Linked DNA regions of Yarrowia lipolytica. The main gene of each other region encodes a partner of the protein of the gene in region 2 in a complex. Links are inferred from orthologs where the notes say so. Each region holds a gene or a part of one and is shown on either strand. Other genes may lie near its edges.

The links.
Region 1: YALI1_F12089g (region 2) and YALI1_F32167g share a complex: the UniProt entries of both Saccharomyces cerevisiae proteins name them as parts of the condensin complex. The link is inferred for Yarrowia lipolytica from reciprocal best matches to the Saccharomyces cerevisiae genes YCG1 and SMC2.
Region 3: the proteins of YALI1_F12089g (region 2) and YALI1_B04937g are in contact, whole or in part, in a cryo-EM structure (PDB 6YVD), measured with the Saccharomyces cerevisiae proteins. The link is inferred for Yarrowia lipolytica from reciprocal best matches to the Saccharomyces cerevisiae genes YCG1 and BRN1. Residues at the interface, in NP_010612.2 of Saccharomyces cerevisiae: Gln215, Arg245, Asp246, Val247, Gln661, Glu741, Gln745, Phe749; in NP_009455.3 of Saccharomyces cerevisiae: His495, Tyr496, Leu497, Leu498, Asp500, Phe504, Phe513.
Region 4: YALI1_F12089g (region 2) and YALI1_C26408g share a complex: the UniProt entries of both Saccharomyces cerevisiae proteins name them as parts of the condensin complex. The link is inferred for Yarrowia lipolytica from reciprocal best matches to the Saccharomyces cerevisiae genes YCG1 and SMC4.

What each region holds. Positions count from the first base shown.
Region 1 is NC_090775.1:3,212,754-3,218,378, reverse strand, and holds YALI1_F32167g (uncharacterized protein), read left to right. Parts: upstream 1-1,594; coding exon 1,595-5,113; downstream 5,114-5,625. Other genes in the region: YALI1_F32204g (uncharacterized protein), read left to right, coding at 1-305. UniProt on the Saccharomyces cerevisiae protein: Central component of the condensin complex, a complex required for conversion of interphase chromatin into mitotic-like condense chromosomes.
Region 2 is NC_090775.1:1,206,996-1,212,480, reverse strand, and holds YALI1_F12089g (uncharacterized protein), read right to left. Parts: upstream 3,516-5,485; coding exon 531-3,515; downstream 1-530. Other genes in the region: YALI1_F12080g (uncharacterized protein), read left to right, coding at 4,473-5,485. UniProt on the Saccharomyces cerevisiae protein: Regulatory subunit of the condensin complex, a complex required for conversion of interphase chromatin into mitotic-like condense chromosomes.
Region 3 is NC_090771.1:490,971-495,711, reverse strand, and holds YALI1_B04937g (uncharacterized protein), read left to right. Parts: upstream 1-1,989; coding exon 1,990-4,209; downstream 4,210-4,741. Other genes in the region: YALI1_B04950g (uncharacterized protein), read right to left, coding at 1-686; YALI1_B04947g (uncharacterized protein), read left to right, coding at 840-957, 1,000-1,148. UniProt on the Saccharomyces cerevisiae protein: Regulatory subunit of the condensin complex, a complex required for conversion of interphase chromatin into mitotic-like condense chromosomes.
Region 4 is NC_090772.1:2,638,871-2,646,446, forward strand, and holds YALI1_C26408g (uncharacterized protein), read left to right. Parts: upstream 1-1,979; coding exon 1,980-2,999; intron 3,000-3,250; coding exon 3,251-7,051; downstream 7,052-7,576. UniProt on the Saccharomyces cerevisiae protein: Central component of the condensin complex, a complex required for conversion of interphase chromatin into mitotic-like condense chromosomes.

The DNA.
Region 1 (5,625 bases), about 2.0 Mb from region 2:
CGCCTCCCAAAACCAACTACGATGATTGGGTCGAATTTGGAACGCGCAAGAATAAGCGTAAGGCCCCTACTCAGCAGGAGCTGCTTTCCCAGATTGTTGCCAGCAGAAACACGATTCCCACACTGTCTCTATCGAGCCAGGCTCCTTCGCAGCGAGCATCTTTGGCTCCGTCCAGCTCCCATCGCTCGTCGCTAGCTCGTGTTGCCTCTCAGGACACGAGAAGACAATCTGCTGGCCCCTCCGGTTCACAGGGCGGGTCTCAGAAGCGTTCCAAGCGAAGAAAGACTCTTGGAGGTTTCCGCTAGTATCTGTTTACTGTTCCTGTTTACTTGTATAATTATTGCATTTCAAAAATGGAGCGACGAGATAAGTAATCGTAGCTACTTAAAATGAGATTGAGACATGACTCGAGGACACGAATCCAAGTACAGTACGCATATTCTAAGGGTACGAGTTACAGTAAGTGTCGGTTCGTATCTGTTCAGGATCAACAAAAAATGGCGACGTCCGCAGGATTCGAACCTACGCGGGGAAACCCCAAGAGATTTCTAATCTCTCGCCTTAACCGCTCGGCCAGGATGCCTGAAAAATCTTCCGATTTTTGAAAACGTTAGGCAAACATTGTGCTTTCTGCTTAGTCACGAATCATTAGAAAAGAAAAAAAACGTTTGATTTTTGTAATTAGAATAAAAAAAAATGGCGTTCGATTTTGGTGTTAAGGAGTTTCTACGCCCTTGCTGTAGTTAGGAATGAATATCGGGCACTTACACGTGTAAAATGTACTGTATATTTCTTGTCACACACAATTGTGTAAGTACTTGTCGCGTGAGTTAGACATCCTATACAACTCCAAATCAAGATGTGGTAAACAAGCACAACATCCAACACCTGCCCACAGGCCCCTGGTTAAATAAAAATAAAAAGTAAAGAAGAAGCTCCACAGGGGCTCCAAAAACAACGCCCCATCGATCTTCATCGTCAAATGATTTTTTTCTTCTTCTCCTTTTCTGTTTTTTTTCCTCAAGCTTCAGGAGAACAGCTCTGAGCCCATCATACAGCAGTGATGCGATACTTTCCATGCCATTTAGTAAAGAACAATAGAACACACACTTGCCACTTGGTAAGACGTTCTGAAAATCAACTAGGAATTTTGTTTATTCTAGTGAAACACGGTTTTTTATTTTTATTCTAATGATTCATTACAGATTCATTACAGTACAGTAATCACGTGACCCGAACCACTTTTGGAATAAGAAACGGACCCGAATCTGGCACATTTCGGGCAACCTGGCCGAGCGGTCTAAGGCGCCAGGTTAAGGCTAACACCTTAACGAATATCCTGGTCTCTTCGGAGGCGAGAGTTCGAATCTCTCGGTTGTCATTTTTTGCTGCAATGGAACCGACTACTTGTAATGTGTAGCCATTGTTTTTGGTAACAGAACGCACCTATAATCAGTACTTCAACTACTTACGAGTAGCTTTCGCGGCGAATTAAAGTGTAACACTCAAAACTCTAACCGTTGCTGGGACAACAGGTCCCAAACACGAAACACGCTTAACGTTCTTTTTCTAAACCACACCTCTCAACACCTAAATGAAAGTCGAAGAGCTCGTAATCGACGGCTTCAAGTCGTACGCCACGCGTACAGTCATCTCCGGATGGGACCCGCAGTTCAACTGTATCACCGGTCTCAACGGTAGTGGCAAGTCCAACATTCTGGACGCCATTTGTTTCGTGCTAGGTATCACGACCATGGCTACTGTTCGAGCTCAGAACCTCCAGGATCTCATCTACAAGCGAGGACAGGCCGGTGTGACCAAGGCAAGTGTCACCATTGTTTTCGACAACTCAGATACCGCCACTAGTCCTATCGGGTTCGAGAAGTACGCCCAGATCTCGGTGACCCGTCAGATTGTGCTTGGAGGCACGAGCAAGTACCTGATCAACGGTCACCGAGCGCAGCAGCAGACGGTACAGCATTTGTTCCAATCGGTCCAGCTCAATATCAACAATCCCAACTTTCTGATCATGCAGGGTCGAATCACCAAAGTACTGAACATGAAGCCTGCCGAGGTGCTGGCTCTCATCGAGGAGGCCGCTGGAACTCGAATGTACGAGGATCGAAAGGAGAAGGCTCTCAAGACTATGGCGAAGAAGGATGCCCGGCGCCAGGAAAGTGCATTGCTTTTGGAGGAGGAAATTAAGCCCAAGTTGGATAAGCTGCGACAGGAAAAGAAGTCGTTCCTCGAGTACCAACACACCCAGTCCGACCTCGAGCGGGCTATCAAGCTCATTGTGGCACATGACTACATCATGTTGACCCAGGGTGCTCAGGAGATGACCGCCGCTATTGAAGCGATTGTTGCCGAGAAGGAAGCAAAGGCCCTAGCAGTGGAGCAGAACACACACGAGATGGGCGTGCTCGAGCAGGACATTGCCGAGGTCAAGGCTCGTCAGGCAGCCGAGGCGTCTAAAGATACGAATGTTTCTGTTCTTCAAAAGCAGGCCAAGGCTGCCTCCCATGAAGTGGTGCGTCTCAACACTACAATCGACCTGAAACGGTCCCAGCTTACCGAGGAAGAAGATTCACTAGCCAGTCTTGAGGCTACTGATCGAACCGAGGAGCTCCAGAAGCGCCAGGCCGAAGTTGACGCTAGCCAGAGAGAACTGGACGCTCAAACACAGCGTCTTGACTCCATGACCAAGGCTCTCGAGTCCAAGCGTGAACTGCTACAGTCGCTTCAGACCGGTATCGCATCTTCGGCCGGTAAGGAGTCTGGCTACCAGCGCCAACTTGCTGAGGCACGTGAACAGGCCAATGATTCTCGTGTGGCAATTGATCGTGCTCAGATGCGAATCTCACATCTGACAGAGGCTCTCAAAAGAGACGCTCCCAAGGTCGCCAAGGCTGAGAGCCAGAACCAGAGCGTGCTCGACAAGCTGGCTGGTCTGCGAGAAGCCAAAGGAGCTCTGGAAGCTGAAGTGGAGCGTCTTATGGCTGTTCCCGGAGCCGACGAGGACTGGACCGGAAAGGAGCGCGAGTGCATGTCGCGAATCGATGCTCTTTCTGCTCGAATTGACTCCGAGAAGCGTCAAGCGTCGTTCTCCGAGTTCACCTACGCTCGTCCTCATGCCAACTTCTCTGCTTCATCCGTCAAGGGTTTCGTGGCCGAACTGCTGACCATTGGAGATGAGAACATGGACAAGTGCATTGCTCTGCAGGTTGCTGCTGGAGGCAAGCTGTTCAACGTTGTTGTTGACAATGAGATCACCGGTAAGGAGCTGCTACAGCGGGGCCGACTCAAGCGACGAGTCACCATGATTCCTCTGAATAAAATTGCTGCCGAAGGTCTAATTTCTGCGGAGCGACTCGCCGTGGCCCAGCAGGTGGCCCCCGGCCGGGTTGGACGTGCCCTAGAGCTAGTTGGATACTCCGATGAGGTTGCTAAGGCCATGGCTTATGTTTTTGGCGGCACTCTTGTGTGTGTAGATACCGAGACCGCAAAGAAGTGTGCTTACCATCCCCAGATTCGTGCTCATTGTGTGACTCTGGAGGGAGATCACTACTCGCCTGAGGGTACCCTTTCTGGAGGCTCTCAGCAGCGAAGTGGAGATCTTCTCAAGAAGTTGACGAGCATCAACAACCTTACACAGGAGCTGGAGGAGGCTCGATACGATCTCAGCAACATCCAGAAGTCCATGGCTCAGTTTTCCAAAGTTATCTCTGAGCGACGACAGCTTGAAAACCAGCTTTCAATTCGGGAGCACGAGATCAAGACCGGCGAGAAGCAACTGGAGTCTTCTTCCAGTGCTTCTGTTCTGCGAAAGAAGCAGGAACAGGAGGCCGAGCTTCATGAGCTCCAGGAGTCCCTTCCCACGCTCAACCAGAAGCTTGAAGACGCCATTGCTCTGATTGGAACTATCGAGAGAGACATGGCTGACTTTGGAAAGAACAAGGGCAGTAAGCTTGAGGAGCTGGCTGCTTCTGTCGAAGAAATGGCTGCTGAAGTAGCTCAGCACCGGTCTGTTGTTGACGAGGCCTCAGCTGCCCATGAGGACATCCAGGTTTCTCTCGAGCAGTTTATGTCCGACATTACTGGTATGAAAGACGAGGCCGAGGCTTTAAAAGAGGCAATTCAGGCTACCCGAGGCGGCCTTGCTCAACTGGAGACTCAGCAGGACGAGGCCCGTGCTCTGGAGGCTTCTCTGACCCAGCAGGTTGAGGAGATGATGGCTGCTCTGCATGGCATGGACGAGGAGCGACGATCTTTGGAGGCTACTCTTCAACAGAAACGAGACTTCCATGCCGATGCTCTTGTCGCTGCAAAGGAGGCTGAGCATCTTCATACCCGTAAGATGAAGGAGCTGGAAGATGCTTCTAAGGGCGCCACTGCCATGGAGGCCAAGTACAACTGGGTCGCTGCTGACGCTCACCTGTTTGGCAAGCCCGGATCTCATTATGACTACGAGAGTGTGGACATCAAGCAGGTGCGACGGGCCGCTGGCCAGTTGGAGGAGCGAATCAAGGGTCTCGGACACAAGGTCAACGACAAGGTCATGAACATGATTGACAACGTTGAGAAGAAGGAAGCGACTCTACGAGGTATGATCAAGACCATCGAGAAGGACAAGGTCAAGATTGAGCAGACCATTGTGTCTTTGAACGAGTACAAATGCAAGGCTCTGACCAAGACGTGGAAGAAGGTGAGCGAGGACTTTGGTCAGATCTTCGCGACTCTGTTGCCTGGCTCCTTCGCCAAGCTGGTACTTCTGGAGGGCAAGGAGATTACCGAGGGTCTGGAAATCAAGGTCATGCTGGGTAAGATTTGGAAGGAGTCTCTGGCGGAGCTTTCTGGAGGTCAGCGATCTCTAGTTGCTCTGTCGTTGATTCTGGCTCTGCTCCAGTTCAAGCCTGCTCCTATGTACATTCTTGATGAGGTTGATGCTGCTTTGGATTTGAACCACACTCAGAACATTGGTCATCTGATCAAGACGCGATTCAAGGGCTCGCAGTTCATTGTTGTGTCGCTTAAAGAGGGATTCTTCAGCAACGCCAACCGAGTCTTCAAGGCTCGATTCCAGGAGGGCTCGTCGTCCGTCATTGCCATGTAGGATTTATGTGGGTTGTATTTTAATGTATTTATATGTATTCGAGTGTCTACCATGCTGTACAGTACATACACTCATATAAGTGCTAATGCTGAGCATCACGAATGAAAAATGATACAGGACCCAGTACCTACAGAGAGGCTGTACCATTAATTTCATTTTGATACATGAGACCTACAACGGAGTAGCGAACACTTATGTACGAAGATGTTATCTCGCAACACACCCAAAGCTCTAGACTCAATGCAATTGGAATTAGTCAGGTCTTAGTGTCTCACAGTCTACTTGGTTTCCTACTGGCTGGTGTGTGTCTCTTAGGTTTAACGGCGGTGAGGAAAGAGAAGCCAGACAAGAGTGAGACAGGAAGAAGTGTACAGTATATACTGTACATATTGTTGTTTGAAACGTGTATAAGAAACGTGTACTGGGACACGTGTAATTAGTAAATAGCCTTGAGACATGGTCCTGGTAGTTAGAGGCACATCACTGCTATGTGTGGCAACAGGCTCACTCCG
Region 2 (5,485 bases):
TTCATGACGCAATCTCAACTCATGACGTATTCCAGCCATTTCCAGGCCATATCGGCCGAGTTGGAAACTTTTCGTCAAACAAACCCAAACATCGTAGGTTAGGCCGGTTGCATGCTCCTTTTCTAGGACCACCCCGGTGATCAACAAGTTCACGGGTGGCCTGGTGTCAGTGAGAGTATTCAGATAGTTGTCCAAATATCCAAACTGGTCTGCGAAACTGTCCAAACTGCTCGAAACTTCTCTCCAACTCCCCAAAACTGTCTCCAACTCATGTAAAAACTCCCCCAAAAGACATCGCAAATCTGAAACAACCATCGTGTTCAGCAAGAGCACAATATTGCTCATGTGTCATATTATCTACACTTTATCCAAAGATGACGTAGCTGGTTAAATCGTGATACAAGTCTCGGCACCAGTATCTCCTTCAGACAACTCCTAAATCCATCTCTATCAACTCCCTACTCCAACATCACCAAGTAGATATCCTTAACACCCATTCATTATTTAAAAATACATACATTATCATCTCTTCACATGTCCATCTCAACATCACTCTCATCTTCGTCACTCTCATCTTCGTCACTCTCATCTTCGTCACTCTCCTCACTCTCTTCTCTCTCATCTTCGTCACTCTCCTCAGCCTCGTCATCGATGCCCGAAACTGTCGACAGCCGACTCTGGCGTCGTCCTATGGGACTTCCAACCGCATGACTTCCAATAGAAGCCCGTCCAATTGGACTTCCTCCAACAGAAGCTCGGCCAGCCGAACCTCGGCCAAGAGGACTGCTGCTCATAGAGCCCCGGCCGAGAGGACTGAGTCCAAGAGAAACCCGGCCCCCAATAGACACCCGACCTCCAACAGAACCCCTCAAGCTAGTGTCTCCACTAGTCTCATCTTCAGGGTACTCGGGGGCCTCAAGTGCATCCTCATCCTCGGGAACAGTATGTCTTAGAACAGTGGTATCAGCCTCCGCGTTCTCCCCTTCTTCAGCTACCTTCTCATCATCCTCCTCTGCCTCCTTCTCTGCAACGCCATCCACAACTCCCACAGGCTCCATGTTCTCCACTGACGCCACAAACCGATTAAATGCGTTCAAGGACACATTGTCAATACCCTCGATGGCCTCGTGACACCGAACAACAGCCTCCTTCAGCTTGGTCAGCTCCTCAGCCGTCAAGCCGGGGAAATACAGCTTGGTCAACGCAGACGTGTACGCCCTGTGCTCGGCTCGCTCCCGGCACTCACTCAGATACGACAAGATATCGAACGCCAGATCGTAGTGGACACGTGACGTAGTTTCTGTGGACGACTGGTTAGTAATCGACACCACACGTCGCGGATCCGTCCAGTCCAAAACCTGCTGCATCATCTCTGTGGCACCGGTAAGAGGATCATCTTCAATATCCTCCAGGTGACGCAGAATTCTATCGATAGCAGGAATAGCCACCGATCCAAGCACCTGCTGATTCTCGTCACGTGAGTAGGCGTACACAGGAATGCAGAAAGACAAAACCTGCTTCAGAGCACCGTTGGAAGCACTCTGTGGGTCAAAGTAGTTGAGAAGGATACCCGCCAGAAGATCGGGGTTGGAAAAGACGCCACAGAGAAGCAGCTTGAACAGTCCTTCGGCGGCAACAGCCTGTAACTCGGGGATGTCGGCGTTCTTCAACGCCTGGTAGTACAGCTTGTGCACACTCTCAGAGTCCACTTTATCGGGAAGATCGAGAACTGAACGACCATGAAGAACCAAAATATCAGACATGATCTTAAGAGCTTCAACCTTGAACTCAGCCTCGCCCTTGTGAACACAGTGTCCGAAAACCATGAGATTGTCCGACGCTTGTTCACGAGATAACAGAGAAAGAAGACCCAGGCATCGTAGACCCCGTTCACGGATTGTAATCACATGAGAGCGAACTGAGGGAAGAACCAAAGAATCTAGTAGACCGCTCAGCTCGACATTCGACTCCAGAGACGTCTCCACCTGCTCAAGCACCGTCTGTGTGATAGCCAGACACCGCAAAGTGGTACAAAGCACTCTGTCTGGGTCTTCAGACTCACGTGCAATGTCTTCGATATCCACCACGATTTCAACCAGCACCTGGATGAAGTCTCGCTCTCGGGTGCACAGTTTGTGGAACACGTTGACAACCGCAGACACAAGAGTATCAGAGAGATCTTTATTAGTCAGCGCATTGGTGAGCACGTCCACAATCTTTCGTCGTCCGATTTCATCACCAAAATCCAGCTGCTGCGCCAGAAGCAAAAGCTGCTCAAGCACAAACTCCCGCTCGGAGTATCCCTCTTCGTCCACGGTCAGATTTTGGAGATCGCGCTCAATAAAGAAAGCAATCTTTGTAACTTCTGGCACCTGGGCGTCCACTAGATCGTCGTAGCCCTTCTTGAGACAGTATTGGGCGTATACACGCGCCAGGAAGGCCGTTTCTGGTGTCAAGGTGTCCCACGAATCTTTGAACGAGAGGTTGGAAACCATTTGGGGCTTCTGGTCAAATATAATCTCGACGGCAGTCTCAGCTACAGTCGAATTGAGCACATCGAGACGCTGCAGAAGCTCCAGGACGCTACCGTCACAGGTTTCGAGCCATTGGGTGACAAGCATCTTTGTGGCTGCCTGTTCCACACTCGTGTCTCGGTCCTTGAGACCCCATTGGAGCAACTTCTCTCGCATGCCGATCCGCAGCATTCGGAAATCACCAATGCTCTTCATGGTCCGTCCATACACCGACCGTCGCGTGATGGAATTGGTATCACGTGCACGTTCAAGAAGATAGGGAAGGGTCTTCTTGGTCACCTTGAGGTTGAACAGGATAGCCCGGCGCACGTCGGCCGAGGGATCGTTCTGGATCAAGCTCAGTAGCAGCTCCTGTAGCTGTTTCTCCTCCGCGGACTCCTCCTCTCCTTCCTCAGCAGAAGATTGGATTCGGCACAGAGCCAACACGGCCTTTAGCCGTGTGCTGGCGTCCTTGTCGTACGACCGCGCAAACATGGAGTCTCGCAGGTCTTCAAAAAGGTCGTCGTCAATGTCACTAAGAGAGTTGATGACGGTAGACAGAATGTGGCAGCATCGGAACCGCACATGTCTATCTTTGGCCTGGGTTCCTCGGAGCACGTGACGAATGAGTGCCTCGCAGAAACGAGACGCCACTGTGCTCTCTTCCTCCTCATCATCTTCATCTTCATCCCGGTCTTCCTCTTCCTCCTGAAGACGTCCCACATACGAGCCGATGAACTCGACCACCTTGTCGGCCGACTTGTCGCCCTTCTTGCACGTGAGCATGCGGTTCACCAGCAGCAGAAACTTGCGCGTGAACTGCTCTTCCATGTTCCACTGAACTGCTCCCTCGTGTAGTTGTTGCATGGACACAATGATCTTTCTCTGCGCCACTAGCGACCGCTGCGCCTCCTGGAAATACTGCCCCAGTAGCGAGTACAGCTTGGCCTCGTTGCGGTTGTTGGCTTTGACCCCGACATGTGTTTTTTTGGCCGTCGTCATGCTGAGTGGTGGTTTGATGTAACTGGCAGGTGTATAGTGATGCGACAAAGGGATGTTTGAACGCGTCAACAAAGGCCGTTGCCACGGTAACCACCCGGGGGAAAACTTTGTATATTGTGCGGGGTTCGATTCCAGCTTGGGACATGTGATTCAGAGAGTGGAAAAGTGGAGGAAAAGAGGACATTTGGGGTTATCAAAGTGGTATAGATGTATTTGACGATTGGTTTTTTTTGGTTTTTTTTTTTTTTCACGTGATATTCGTCCGTTTGGGGGCATGGAACCCCCGTTTTCTTTTACTTGACTTGGTGTAATAGTTTGTTACATATTACTTGACTTGGTATAATAGTTTGTTACGTGTTACTTGGCTTAGTATAAATGTTTGTTGAGAATTACTTTAAGCAGAACAGAACACATCTACAAGACAGACTAGAGAATATATATAGACAAATCCAAGAGTGCAAGTTGTTGCAACGGTCAATTTACGATATTATTATAAAATCAAACTTATTACGCCCAGTATCAATCTCCATTCAAGTCATCTTCTGAACACCATTGACTCTACACTTAACATCGCCAGACCACACTTTGCTATACAAAATATGGTGTTGCTGGTTAGATAAAACAACTCTGAAAAATGCATCTTGTTGGTCTTTTTCCGCTCCATATCATGGTTCTTTCAGATTTCTATTACGTCCACTATTCGTCGAGATAATTCCAAAACACGTAAAACGTGGCCAAAACCAAAAATGAAACCACTGTCATAGCATTTCAGTCTTTAGCAATCTCTTCAAGCCCTCTTTCTTGTTATACAGGCTCTACATAGTCCGCTACTTGTAGGTGCTTCTATCACCCATTAGTCACATGACAAAGCCTAAATAAAAAAAAATCTGCATATGCATATAGGTAAGCCAAAAAATTGTGAGAGTGCAACATATCACAAAAACAGCACACAACACAATGGACGTTCATAGATGCCGTTTTGTGGACTACAATCCGGCCGGAATCACGGCGCTGGCGTTCAGCCGACGCTCCGAGCTGGACCAGAACGCCTCGCCGGACCTGAGACTGGCTGTGGGACGAGATAATGGAGATATCGAAATTTGGAACCCCCGATGGAACTGGCTCCATGAGACGACTTTGCGGGGAGGAAAGGGCCGGTCTGTCGAGGGGCTGGCGTGGTCTGACTCGGGCGACTCTTCTGGCAAGCCGCGGCTGTTTTCCATCGGAGGATCGACCGCTATCACCGAGTGGAACGTGTCCACGGGCCAGCCCAGAGTCAACTACGACTGCCACAGCGGTGTGATCTGGTGCATTGCCGTGAGCGACGACGGAACCAAGCTGGCTGCAGGCTGCGAAAACGGCTCCGTGGTGGTGGTGGATCTGTCTGGAGGCCCTGGTGTGATGGAGCATTCGCGAGTCCTTCAGAGACACACCTGTCGAGTGCTCAGTTTGGCATGGAGAGGCTCGCAGGTGGTGGGCGGCTGTTCGGACGCGCGGATCCGGGTCTGGGACGAAGACGGATCCACCATTGCCACCATGAAGGTCGACACTGCCAAGGGACCTGTGGCACAGGACGACGCTACTCTGGTGTGGACCGTGGCGGTTGTGAAGCGAGCCAAGGGCGATCTGATCGTTTCCGGCGACTCCACGGGCTCGGTCAAGTTCTGGGACTGCACGCACTTTGCTCTGAACCAGTCGTTCAAGACCCACGAAGCCGACATTCTCTGTCTGGCAGTCGATGCAGCCGGAGACGCTGTCTTTTCGGCGGGTGTCGACAAGACCATCGCCTGCTACGAGTCTGTGGGCAAGCGATGGAACCAGACCAACGTGCGGGGCTACAATGCCCACGACGTGCGAGCTCTGGCTACTTACGAGGCCAAAAACCTGTCTCTTCTTGCATCTGGAGGCGTGGAAAAGGTGCTTGTGGTTGCTTCCGTTAACGAGTTTGCTCAGGGCCCCTACCGAAAGTT
Region 3 (4,741 bases), on a different chromosome or scaffold from region 2:
GTCTTCATGGGCGAGAGCTGAGCCTTGGCTAGAGACAGGAGGAATACGGCTGAGGGCTCGTTGACGAGCTGCTTGATTTCGTTCTCAAACGTGAACATGGTGCTGGAGGCCAAAGGTTCGTCCAGCAGCTCGGCAAGGTGGGATCTGGAGACCTTGGCGTTCCAGGTGGGCGAGCTTACCATGGTAGTACAGCTAGAGGCCGAGCCGGTGAGAGAAGAAGACCCAACGCTGGAGAAGCTGGTGTGGGTCTTGAGAGTGAAAATAGGTGAATGATCAAAAACGTCTGGGCTCAGAGCAATCTTCTCGAGGTCGAGAGGAGCAGTAGGGGTCCGGGTAGGGGCCAGGCCGGCAGGAGCAGCGTCCACGGGGGTCACTGGCTTGACAGCAGGCATAGTGAGCCGCTGGAGAAAGCCGGAGAGAACCGGAACAGAAAGATGGTCAATGATAGTCTGGTTCTCCTGGGTGGAGCGAGCCAGGTGGAGGCCAATGGGGATGAGGGAGGCGAGATGACGGAGACTGTCGACGAACTCGGCCAGGGTGGGAAGGTCGTCGTGAATGTCCTGGAGCGCGACCGGATCCACTGCGGAGGCAAGAAGAAGGCGGAGCTTGAAGGATCTCAGCGGAAGCATACACACCACATTGTCTGGGCACTGGGCCAGCAGCACAAGCGTGGGTAGGAACTGCATCTGGAGTCGTGGGATGAGGTGGGTGTGGGATTATGTGTCTGTGTCTGTGGCAGAGATGTGACTGACCAAGACTGAGTCACAATGTGTGATAGAAGCACCGTAACGCTGTTTCTGTGGGCCACTAGGTCGATGTAGTGGGCGTGAGAAGAAAGGATGTGTGTCTGTGCTAGTCTGAGTAAGAATGCTGAGAAACAAGTCTGTGTGTGTTTGTGTCTGTATCTGAGTCTGTGTCTGCAATATCGGCTATACAGACAGGTCAAGAAGAGGCCAAGTGTGCGTGTGTGCGTGTGTGTGTGAATCCAGAGCTGACTAGATAAAGGAGAAGGAACCGGAAGAAGGGGGTTTATATGTGAAGACACACAGTCATTCCCTCTATTATACGCGGCGAGTGGGTGGAGAGGTCAACTCTATCTTGTCACTCTGTTTGAGTGGTGGAGTGCACTTTCAGGGCTCTTGATCTAGAGGGCGCTCGCGTAGAATCATAACATGATGGGTATCATTGGAAAGCCATTCTCGACAGGTCGTCACACATGGTAGGAATGACCGCATCGACAGCCATAAAACGTCGCATTTTGGAGATATCCAGTTCGCCGACCATCTCTTTTCACCTTGCCTTTGCATATCCCGATTCAGTCTCCCCAGTTCCAATATCTCAAGGCTGTGCGTTTTTCCTCTTTATTGAACGTTTTTCCTCTTTGCTGAATGCCCAATGTGGCACAACTGGACTAGCCCTAGTCACATTGTCAATTGGGGAACAAGCCGAAATTCTCATTGCCCCACCTTTCTCTCAACCGCTTTTGGTATCACGAAATTTCATAGTCCTTGGGCTACGCGGTTCCTTCTATCCATCACCACTGATGAACTGTGAAGCGAGTCCCGACGACCCAGACCACTCCCATATTGACCTCCAAACTCAATCTCCAGAACCGCGTGCGTACATCCAACTGGGGTAACAGGCGGCGCTATTGATGGGTCAGCCACTGAACGATGGGTTAAATGTACCGGTACAGGTTAGGGCATTGGAATGTATGCGGTGGTTCAAGGCGATTCGAACTGTCTAGAATATGGCCTTCGAACAGCTGGTAATACACTTGTAGTCGTGCTTGTATTACTACCTACGCCATCAGATTTCGCACCGCCCCCAAATACGGAAGCTTCGGGTTAGGGTTATTTTACGCGGTTGCCAGGACAACGGCACACAACAACGCGTGAAGGCTATTTTGTAAATATACAGAATATACAGAAACCTCTTTACACTTTTCGATCCGTCAACACGACTAACTAAACATTCAGATAAACGAAAATGGCAAGACCAGCTCGACGACGGTCTTCCGGACGGTTTCTCCAACAGGGCGAATCCGAGCCTTCTCTGCAAAAACTGGTCCATATGAACGACGACGCTGCCGAGAAGCAGAAGCGACGACAGTCCAAGCGTCTCAGTATTCTTCCTGGAGCTGTTTCGCTCGGTTCTCCTGGCGCCAATGCTGGTGAGGACGTTGACGAGGGCCTTAGAGATCATCTGAACAATGCTGCTCCCCAAGTTCCCATCATGGCCAACTTTGAGGAGTGGATGAAGATGGTGAACGACAACAAGATCAATGCGCAGAATTCGTGGAATTTCGCGCTCATTGACTACTTTCATGACATGTCGCTGCTTAAGGAGGGCGACGGAATCAACTTCCAACGTGCTTCCGTCACTCTGGACGGTTGTATGAAGATTTACTCGTCTCGTATTGACTCCGCAGCCACCGAGACTGGTCGATTGTTGACTGGACTGGCTACTAAGCAAGGACGAGAGGATATCGGTAATGAAGACGACGAGGAGGAAGGGCAGGAGGGTGAGGAAGGGGAGGGAGGAGAGAAGAAGAAAAAAACCGTTCGTCCTCGAGGAGTTACTCTGGCTAAGAGCTTTGAGGAGAATGCTGCTAAGAAGCTTGAGCTCGAACTCTCTATCGATCCTCTTTTCAAGAAGATGTGTGCCGATTTCGATGAGGGAGGCGCCAAGGGCATGCTGATGAACTCTCTGGGCATCGACAAGAATGGTCGCGTGGTTTTCGATGGAGATTTCGACCAGGAGATTAGTAAGGGAGATTTTGCCGACCTTAGCGAAGACGAAGACATGGAGGATGATAGTGCCGACAGCTTTTCTCTGCAGCAGCTGGGGGCGAAGTTTTTCCCCGACCTGTCTATTCTGGCAACAAAGTCCGTCTGTCCTTCTGCAGCTATGATCGAGGCTGCTCTCAAGGACCCTAGTAATCTTCCCGAGGGTCTGCAAGTCGACAATCTCGATGACCGACCTTCCATGCCAGAGCTCGACTACGGAGGAGACGAAGACATTCTGGACGATGCCGCTCTTGGAGATATTGGTTTTGACGACCTTGGAGCAGGAGGCGATGACGATGGACCTGGAGGTCCCGTGGAGGATTTCGAGTTTGGATACAACCCCATGAACGAGCAGTATGCCGAGATTGCTCAGGATGTGGCTATTCCAGGCGGGGTGGGTCCCTCTGACCCTCGATACAAGCCCACCATTAACGAGGCTGATCTTCTGGCGTACTTTGATCACACCTTGAAGAAGAACTGGGCCGGCCCTGAGCACTGGAAGGTCCAAAAGCTGCGGGGAGATATTCAGAAGAAGGCCATTGAAAGCAGAGATAATGTTGGAGAAGATGGAGAGGAAGGAGAAGAAGGCGAGAAGGCTGACAAGACAAAGAAGAAGGCCGCTCCTGTCGAAGTTGACTTCATTTCCGAAGATAACGATATTGACGAGGCTGTGCTGTTTGGTCGACCAGCACACATGTCTACTCTGTCGCTCACCAAGGCCCAGCAGCGATCTGATACCAACAACCTGCTCCCTAACGACGAGCACTTCTCCACCGACAATCTTGTCAAGCTGTTCATCAAGCCCGGCAAGCGAATCACCGGTCTACTGTTCAAGCATCGAGTCACTCTCCAGAGCGAAAAGGACGCCGACCAACATTTCTGGGCTCAGCATTTCAACGAGGAGCTGGCAGAATACGGTGTTCAGGGCCCTGAACCTGAACCTGTTGATATACCTGGCCAGAACGACGATGGAGATGATTTCGGCGGCTATGACGACTTTGACGACTATGGAGGAGCTACAGATATGGGTGGGCCTCACAATGCGTCGTTCCTGGGCCTGCCCAAGGCTCATCCAGAGTACGTTTCGTACGCCAAGGTGGCCAAGCGAGTGGATGTTCGTAAATTGAAGGACAACCTTTGGAGAGTCATGGATTATGAAAAGGTGGACGAGTTGGTGGACAATGGCGACATGGTTGAGGATGCAGCAAAGGTGGAGGAGAAGAGATTCACCCAGCTCGTGGAGCAGGTGGGAGCCGAGTACCCCCGACAACAGAAGCAGGAGATCTCCACCTCGTTTGTGTTCATCTGTCTGTTGCATCTGGCTAACGAGAAGGGTCTCAGTATCGACCAGCAGGATGATTTGGCCGACTTGGCCATCAGCAAGGATATGAATGTTCGCCTGGATCAGCTGGGAGCATAATGGGACTGAGACAGCAGTTGTGTAATTTATTGATCGTATATAATAATGAGTGTACAATATGATGAGTGATGAGAGCGTTTGTAGAGTGAAGGGCGGTAAACCGTTTTGGCAAGGGGTTGGGTGATCTTGGAGTTTTGTCTGTAAGTTCCATATGATGCCATGAAAAGCAAAAACACATCTATATAATATCCTCGAGTGACCTATTTCATCGTGTAAACCACATCTTCTACCTAATTATCAATAATATACATTTTCCCCGATTTTATTTGATTTTTTTTGTGAGCGTATCCAAATGTCGGGATGTTTTATTCTATTTAATATTCTATTTTAGATTCTATTTTTAGTTCTGGTCACGTGATCAAAATTTTCGAGTGTGATGGGAACGATTTCTAAAATTTCAACAAAATGCCTGGCTAGCTCAATCGGTAGAGCGTGAGACTCTTATTCCAAGGTCATCTCAAGGCTGTGGGTTCAAGCCCCACGTCGGGCTCTCTTTTTTGGGTGGTATTTGCGTGTACAAGTACAAGTAGTA
Region 4 (7,576 bases), on a different chromosome or scaffold from region 2:
GAAAGGGAGTACTGAGACACCAAGACGTATCAGGACACACTCAGCCAATGGTTCTTCAGCTTGGAGTGCTGAGACCAGTACTTGCACGACTTGCCTTAGAACTGCTTGTTGCAACATGGTACTTGTACTTGTACACGTAGTCGAGCTTGTAGCGTACAGTACTCGTACACGTAGTCGAGCTTGTAGCGTACAGTACTCGTACACGTAGTCGAGCTCGTACCGTACTCATACCCTGCCTCTGCTCCACTCGCACCGCCAACTGCTCCATCACTCATACCTACATAGCTACCCCGAACCGTTACCATGGAGACTGGCGATCCCAATATACCCTGACGGTCCACATTCCACGCTAAACCAAACTGGATTCCTATTATTCTCACTGTACAAAGTCACATGACGGTGGATGGATGACAAGGACGTCGGATGTACGTGCTGTAGAGATAACAGCCTGGATTCATCTCGGGTGCAGAATTGCTGTGCCAAGCGGTCTGCCAGGTGGGTTCTTTGCGTGGTATTATTTCCTTGTCCAAGAGTTGTTATTGTTGTGCTTGCTAGATGTATGGTGCATATCAAGTGCTGAGAGTGTATCGGAGAGTCGAATTCAGGAGACCGAGTACAGTACAAGTACAAGTACAGGTACGAGCACAACAACATGCCAATGGTTAACGGCTGCGTTCCGGACTCACTTTTCTTTTCCAACGACCTCAGCCGTTCACGCTAATCCCACGCTTAACGCTGAGTTTGGAGCATCGTGGGCGTGCCAGTGGCTTAATAAGCAGATAAACGAGGGGATGTAACGGTAGAAGGCTCAATGCGGCGGCTCCGACTGTTTTTATGACTCGGTGTTTTGTGGATTTCGTCATCTTAGCAAAGATCCCTAGTACGATTACATAATCAACAGGAGCACACTACTTAATGATGGTACTGTAGACAGTGGACGCGATTCATCTGAATATAACCGGAGCTGGTTTGACAACGATCCATATCAACGACCCATATCGATGGATGCGCACGCACAAACAGAACATCCATACATCTCGCGACAAGAGCACCAGAACACCTCAGTTTGCCAATCCCGCAGCGTACGCTACAACTTCTCGTGCATTAGCGAGCTTCCGAGCAGATGTAAGAGTAATACTCGAGATAATATGTCAGTTACAATTGTACTAACCAACACATCCACTTTTACTGTGAATGTTCGACAAGCCAACTCTCATCTTGTGCTTCCTACAGTAATCAACCATACATTTTCAAAGTAGGACTCAATAGACAGTTTCCAGCCACAGGATTTCTTGATGTCAGACTTGCGACCATACCACTATCAAATTCCGATCCAATTCCCATACTCGTACTAATGAACACATCTGGAAACGTTTTCCAAACCCCCCAATCTCCTCCACAGTCGACCCCATAACTGTCACTATCAGATCCAGCCGCACTGCTTGTACATACGGTACCTCGTGAACTGTTTGTACAAGTACAAGCCGCTGAAACACGAAAAAAACCTATAAATACCACCAAAAGCAACTCTTCATCCATTCACCGTTCTTGCTCCATTTTTCCCATACTTGAACTCGTAGTCGTACGTAATCGCACCCATTCCTACTCTCCCACATTTGACACACTGTGAAGACCCCACTCTTCCAGTCGAAAAAAATATACAGCAAAAAAAGTACAGTATTGACCCTTGTGGGACGACCCTGAAACTGTAGTAAACCAGAGGTATATCACACTTGTAGTAATACTTGTAGTAATACTTCTGCAAACCACGTGACCAAAACATTCACTTCGTACACCCATCCACCGACACCAAGCATGCTTCCCCCTCCACCAGCTCGTGTTGCCAGGACAACCAGGGTTAGGGTTTCACTTCCTGTCTCGGACGCGTATTGTATATTGGGTAAACAGAGGTTGACGCGTCTGTCAGAAAAGTACATCTACAATCTTTCCACCACATCGACACACATTTCCACATTCAAATGGCCCGACTCAGCAGTGCGCCTTCCAAGCGGTACTCGGCCTCGCACCGCAGCTCGATCTCGCGCGTGGAGATTGAGCAGCAGTTTTCAGAGGAGGATTCGGATGATTTGGCGGTGGCCACCAAGAAGAACTTGAAACGGTCTTCTCGACCCAGAGCACACAAGGTGGTTGAGAGTGAAGACGAGAGTGAAGGGGAGGAGGAGGAGGGAGAGGAAGAGGAAGGAAGTGATACCGCAAACGCCAACAACACAAACATTACCCATGATTCTGCAGATGTATCTATTGATCATGATGAGGATGAGGATGAGGATGAGGATGAGGATGAGGAGGAAGAGTCAGAAGACGAATTGGTGGCTTCCAAAACCGCCAAGCGAGTTATTGAAGACGAGGAGGAAGAGCAGGAGGACATTGACATGGAGGGCGATATGAGCGTGGATCATGAGGGTGACATTAACATTGCTATGGGTGATGAGAATGTGGGTGGGGGTGATATTGAAGGTGAAGTGGCAGCCATGGAGTCGTCACCCGTGAAGAGAAGCCCTCTTGCAACCCGTACATCCATCTCGGCCAACAATGCCTCTCCTAACACCTCCAACATTGTGTCCAATCCCAGCCCCAGTCAAAAGGAAAACGTCATTGTAAAGAAACGTGACATGACACCTGATATGGACACCAACGCCGCTACAGAAGATGCCACCACGCCAAACACGCCCTCCAGAGCTCCTCCCTCGTCCATGCCTGTTCCTTCCCCCATGCAGGCCAATCTGACTATTGATGATGGAGCCCCCGATGGCCTGCCTCTCCCCAGGGCATCCGAAGAGCCCGACGAGGTCAAACAGGAGGAGCAGCTGAGCCACGGCATCCATGCGCGGTCGCTCATGCAGCAGCGCGCCACGTCCATGCAGCAGCATGTGATCAAGACACCCGACGAGCCCACTCAGCGGCTGACCATTAGCAACTTGGTCCTTACAAACTTCAAATCCTATGCCGGACGACAGGAAGTTGGTCCTTTCCACAGTGTGAGTATAGTGGAGCAAGCTGAGCGATCCGAAGGATTGCCTGGCTTTTTTTGTGGTCACTTGGTTTAAATGACTGGACTCGGGTGCTTATTGGTTTCAAGTGTCTACTTTATTCAATAGCAACTTGCGTTTCATGATTTCAAGTGCTATTTCGATCTCAAAAGCCTTTTATTAACATGGCTTCGCATGCTTGTCCCGAACCGCCATGCTGAACCACAATGTGGTCCGTCCTGAAAGCCATACTAACCCAGTCATTCTCCGCCGTAGTTGGCCCCAACGGTTCCGGCAAGTCCAACGTGATCGACTCGCTTCTCTTCGTGTTCGGTTTCCGAGCTTCCAAAATGCGACAAGGCAAATTGTCCGCTCTCATTCACAACTCTTCCAACCACCCCAATCTCACGTTTTGTTCCGTCGAAGTCCACTTTCAGGACGTGATCGACGAGCTGGACGGTACCACCTCTGTGGTACCAGACTCGACGTTGGTTGTGGCGCGAAAGGCCTACAGCAACAACACGTCTGTGTACACAATCAATGGTCGAACGTCATCCTTCACTGAGGTGACCACACTATTAAAGGGCCGAGGAATCGATCTGGACCACAAACGGTTCCTCATTCTGCAGGGAGAAGTCGAAAGTATTGCCCAGATGAAGGCGAAGGCTGAGGGCGACCACGACGACGGCTTACTGGAGTACCTGGAGGACATTATTGGTACGTCGCAATACAAGACGCCAATCGACGAGGCACAAGTTCAGATCGACTCGCTCAATGAGGTGTGTTTGGAAAAGAAGGGTCGTATGGAAATTGTGGAGAAGGAACTGAACGGTCTGTCATCCGAACGTGACGAGATTGTCGGCTACTTGCGTCTCCAGAACGAGCTGACTCACAAGCAGTCTCTGTACTTCCAGATTCATGCTCAAAAGTGCCAGAAGGTGATCACTATGAGCGAGCAGGTTATGGCTGAGATTGAGACGCAGTTGGCGGCAGAGGAGGAGAGAAATGCCGCTAACAGAGTCGAAATCAAGACTCTAGAGGACGGCGTCAAGTCCGAGGAATCTGTGCTTAAGGGTCTGAAGAAGGCCCAGTCCAAGCTGGCCTCTATTCTGGCCTCTCACGAGAAAGAAAAAGTGCAACTGGAGGAGCGCAAGAAGCACATGGAGGCTAAGGCGAAGAAGTTAGAGAAGACAATTGCTTCAGCTGAGTTGTCGCTATCCTCTTCTGAGTCCTGGATCGAGGAGTACGACAACGAGAACTCCGGCAACATTGAGCAGCTCAAGGTATACGGCGAAGAACTTGCCGAGGCCGAGGCTCTCATGGTTGAGATTCAACGGGATCTGGGAGACAAAACACGCCCTTTCTCCGAGAAGATTGACCTGCTCAAGCAAAAACTCGATCCCTGGAAGCAGAAGATTGTTGCCAAAGAGGGAGAGGTCAAGTCTGCGCTCAACAAGGTCGAGCTCGAGGAGGAGCGACTTTCCCGGGCTGAGAAAGCTGTCAAGGACTCCGAGGCGTCTATTCAGGGCATCAAGCTGGAGGGAAGGAGTCTGGAGAAGAAGGTGGCTCACTCGGAGAAGGAGAAGGAGCACGTTCAGAACCAGATTGAGCTAGGAGAGCAGGAATGCGAGCACGCCAAGGGAAAGCTAGCAGACATGAAGCAGCGCCTGGACGACATGCGTGCTCAGTACAACGACGCCAAGGAGTCGCAATCATCTTTGCAGTCTCGTGGACGGGTTGTAGGTGCTCTGATGAAGCTCAAGGACTCTGGACGACTCCCTGGCATTCATGGCCGGCTTGGAGATCTCGGTACGATTGATGCAGAGTATGATACTGCCGTATCTGTGGCGTGTCCCAAGCTCGACAACATTGTGGTTGACACGATTCAGACAGGTCAAGCCTGCGTGGAGTATCTGCGAAAGAACAATCTAGGTACAGGTGTGTTTCAGCTAATGGACAAAATTGGCAATCGACGTCCCAAGAACTTTAACACTCCAGAAGGTGTTCCTCGGCTAATCGATCTAGTGAAATGCGACCCCCAGTTCATTCCAGTCTTTTATGCAGCCATGGGTGAGACTCTGGTTGCGAAAGATCTGGACCAGGCAAACAGAATTGCCTATTCGGGTGGCCGGTACCGAGTCGTGACTCTGCAGGGCCAGCTTATCGCGCGAAGTGGAACCATGGCTGGCGGAGGACATGTCAAGCGGGTTGGTCTGATGGCAATCACCGGTTCAGAGCGATCTACCGCCAAGGCTCTTTCGGCAGATGAAATGCGAGCTCTGGAGAACGAGATGGAGAACGAGGAGAAGCGGTATGGCGTGGCCAATACCACCTATCACCAGATGGTAGCTTCTTTGCGGGACTTGAAGGAGCGGCTTCCTCAGGTCGAGGTCGAGATTTCCAAGGTGGGTCTTGAGATTGAAGCACTCGCTCAAAACTACAAGTCTTCCGACCGACAACATAAGGAGCTGCTTGTGGAGTTGGAGGGTGTGCAGAAGAGTTCTGTACTTGCAGAGGCACGTGATCATGTTGCCACTCTTGAGGCAGAGGTTGAGGAACTTAAGTCACAGTGTTCTTCAATTGACGAGGAAATTGCATCTCTCGAGGAGAAGATTATGGAGACTGGTGGTCTCAAGCTGCGAATGCAAAAGTCCAAGGTCGACGGACTGGTTCAGAAGATTGAGATTGTGCAGGGCAAGATGAAGACCGGTAACAAGGACCGGTCCAAGGCCCAGCACAATGTTACTAAGCAACAGCGGGTCATTTCCGAGTCGCAGAAGGAGCTGCAGTCATTCCAGGAGGAGTGCGCTCCTTTCCAGTCCAAATTTGATGCTCTGGAGCAAAAGGTGGCTGAGTGTGAGACCGAGTCCGAGGAGGCCACCAAGGCCATGTACGAGCAGGAGGAGCGGGTATCTGCGCTACGAAATGAGCTCCAGGAAAAACAGGCAGAGATTTCGGAGCTGCGAAAGGCAGAAGTCGAGCTAAAAAACTCGCTGCTGCAACACAAGACCAAGGTTGAGGAGGAGGGAGCCAAGAAGGCACAGTGGGTCAAGCGACTGCAAGGCTTGGCTATTCACAACATTGGCGAAATGTGTGGCCAGCCAGATGAGCCAGAAGAGACGTCCACGCCTCTCGTGGAGTACTCTGAGGACGAGCTCCAGGGTTACAGTGTCTCCGAGCTCAAGGAAGAGATTGTCGGTTTGGAAAACTCGGTCGAGGGCATCGACATCGACTTTGCCATTCTTGAGGAATATGCTCGACGGGCACGCGACTACGAGACTCGTCGTTCTGCGCTCAATGAGGCTGTGGAGGAGCGAGAGCAGTCGTCCAAGCGACTGGAGGATCTCAAGTCCAAACGACTGTCTGAGTTCATGTCTGGTTTCAACACCATCTCCATGAAGCTGAAGGAGATGTACCAGATGATCACCATGGGCGGCAATGCCGAGCTGGAGCTTGTGGACTCTCTGGATCCTTTCTCCGAGGGTATTCTCTTCTCGGTCATGCCTCCCAAGAAGTCGTGGCGTAACATCTCTAACCTTTCCGGCGGAGAAAAGACGCTGTCTTCTCTGGCTCTCGTCTTTGCACTCCATCATTACAAGCCTACGCCTCTGTACGTGATGGACGAGATTGATGCTGCTCTGGACTTCCGAAACGTGTCCATCGTGGCCAACTACATCAAGGAGCGTACCAAGAACGCCCAGTTCATTGTCATTTCGCTGCGAAACAACATGTTCGAGCTAGCTCAGCGGTTGGTTGGTATCTTCAAGGTCAACAACATGACCAAGAGTGTCACCATCAAGAACGTGGAGGCCGTGGAGGCTGCTGCCGCAGCGGCAGCAGCAGCGAAGATCCCTCCCATGACACCAGGTCCCGGAGGACGTGGAGTTCCAATGACTCCGGGGCTGCACAGGACGCCAGGAACTCTACACAGAACTCCCGGGCACCTGAGAGCTCCACCCCCGAAGTTTGGAGCTGGAATGGGTGTTTCTTCGACGCCTCGAGTTCCCCAGACTCCCCGAGTGCCTCACAAGGCTACTCAGGCGGGATTCGTTGAGGGATAGTGTATGAATATTTATGATAATTAATGGATGTATATTAGTGAACAGTGGAGAGAACGGTGGGGGAGTTAGTGATGTATATGATGGTGTAGGTCTATATGAAGGCGAATTGCTTGAACAAGTTAGGGTATTAGAACGGTAACACGATGTTACTACGGTACGGTACGATACGATGTGCTCTTACACGACGTCATTAACAACCACTGTTGGTACAACTGGTGATTGTGATATTACAGACTCACAATTCCAAGTACTCACTCTATACCATGTGTCTATAAGTACAGCACATATTCTACTATAGCTACCGAAAAGCATCGTATGTATGTTGATGGTCACAATGTTGAGCCATTCTGTATACCACGGGTTACTATTTGTAGCGTGTATGACACTGGTTGTAAATCACGTATATGACGATCTTGCTCCAAGTGCCAAGTACATACTCGCACGGGAAAGTTCCATATAACCGAGTATGTGAAACAGTCTTGCTGGACCTGTTTCTTTCTTTGTGAGACAGAAGGAGGAAGATCA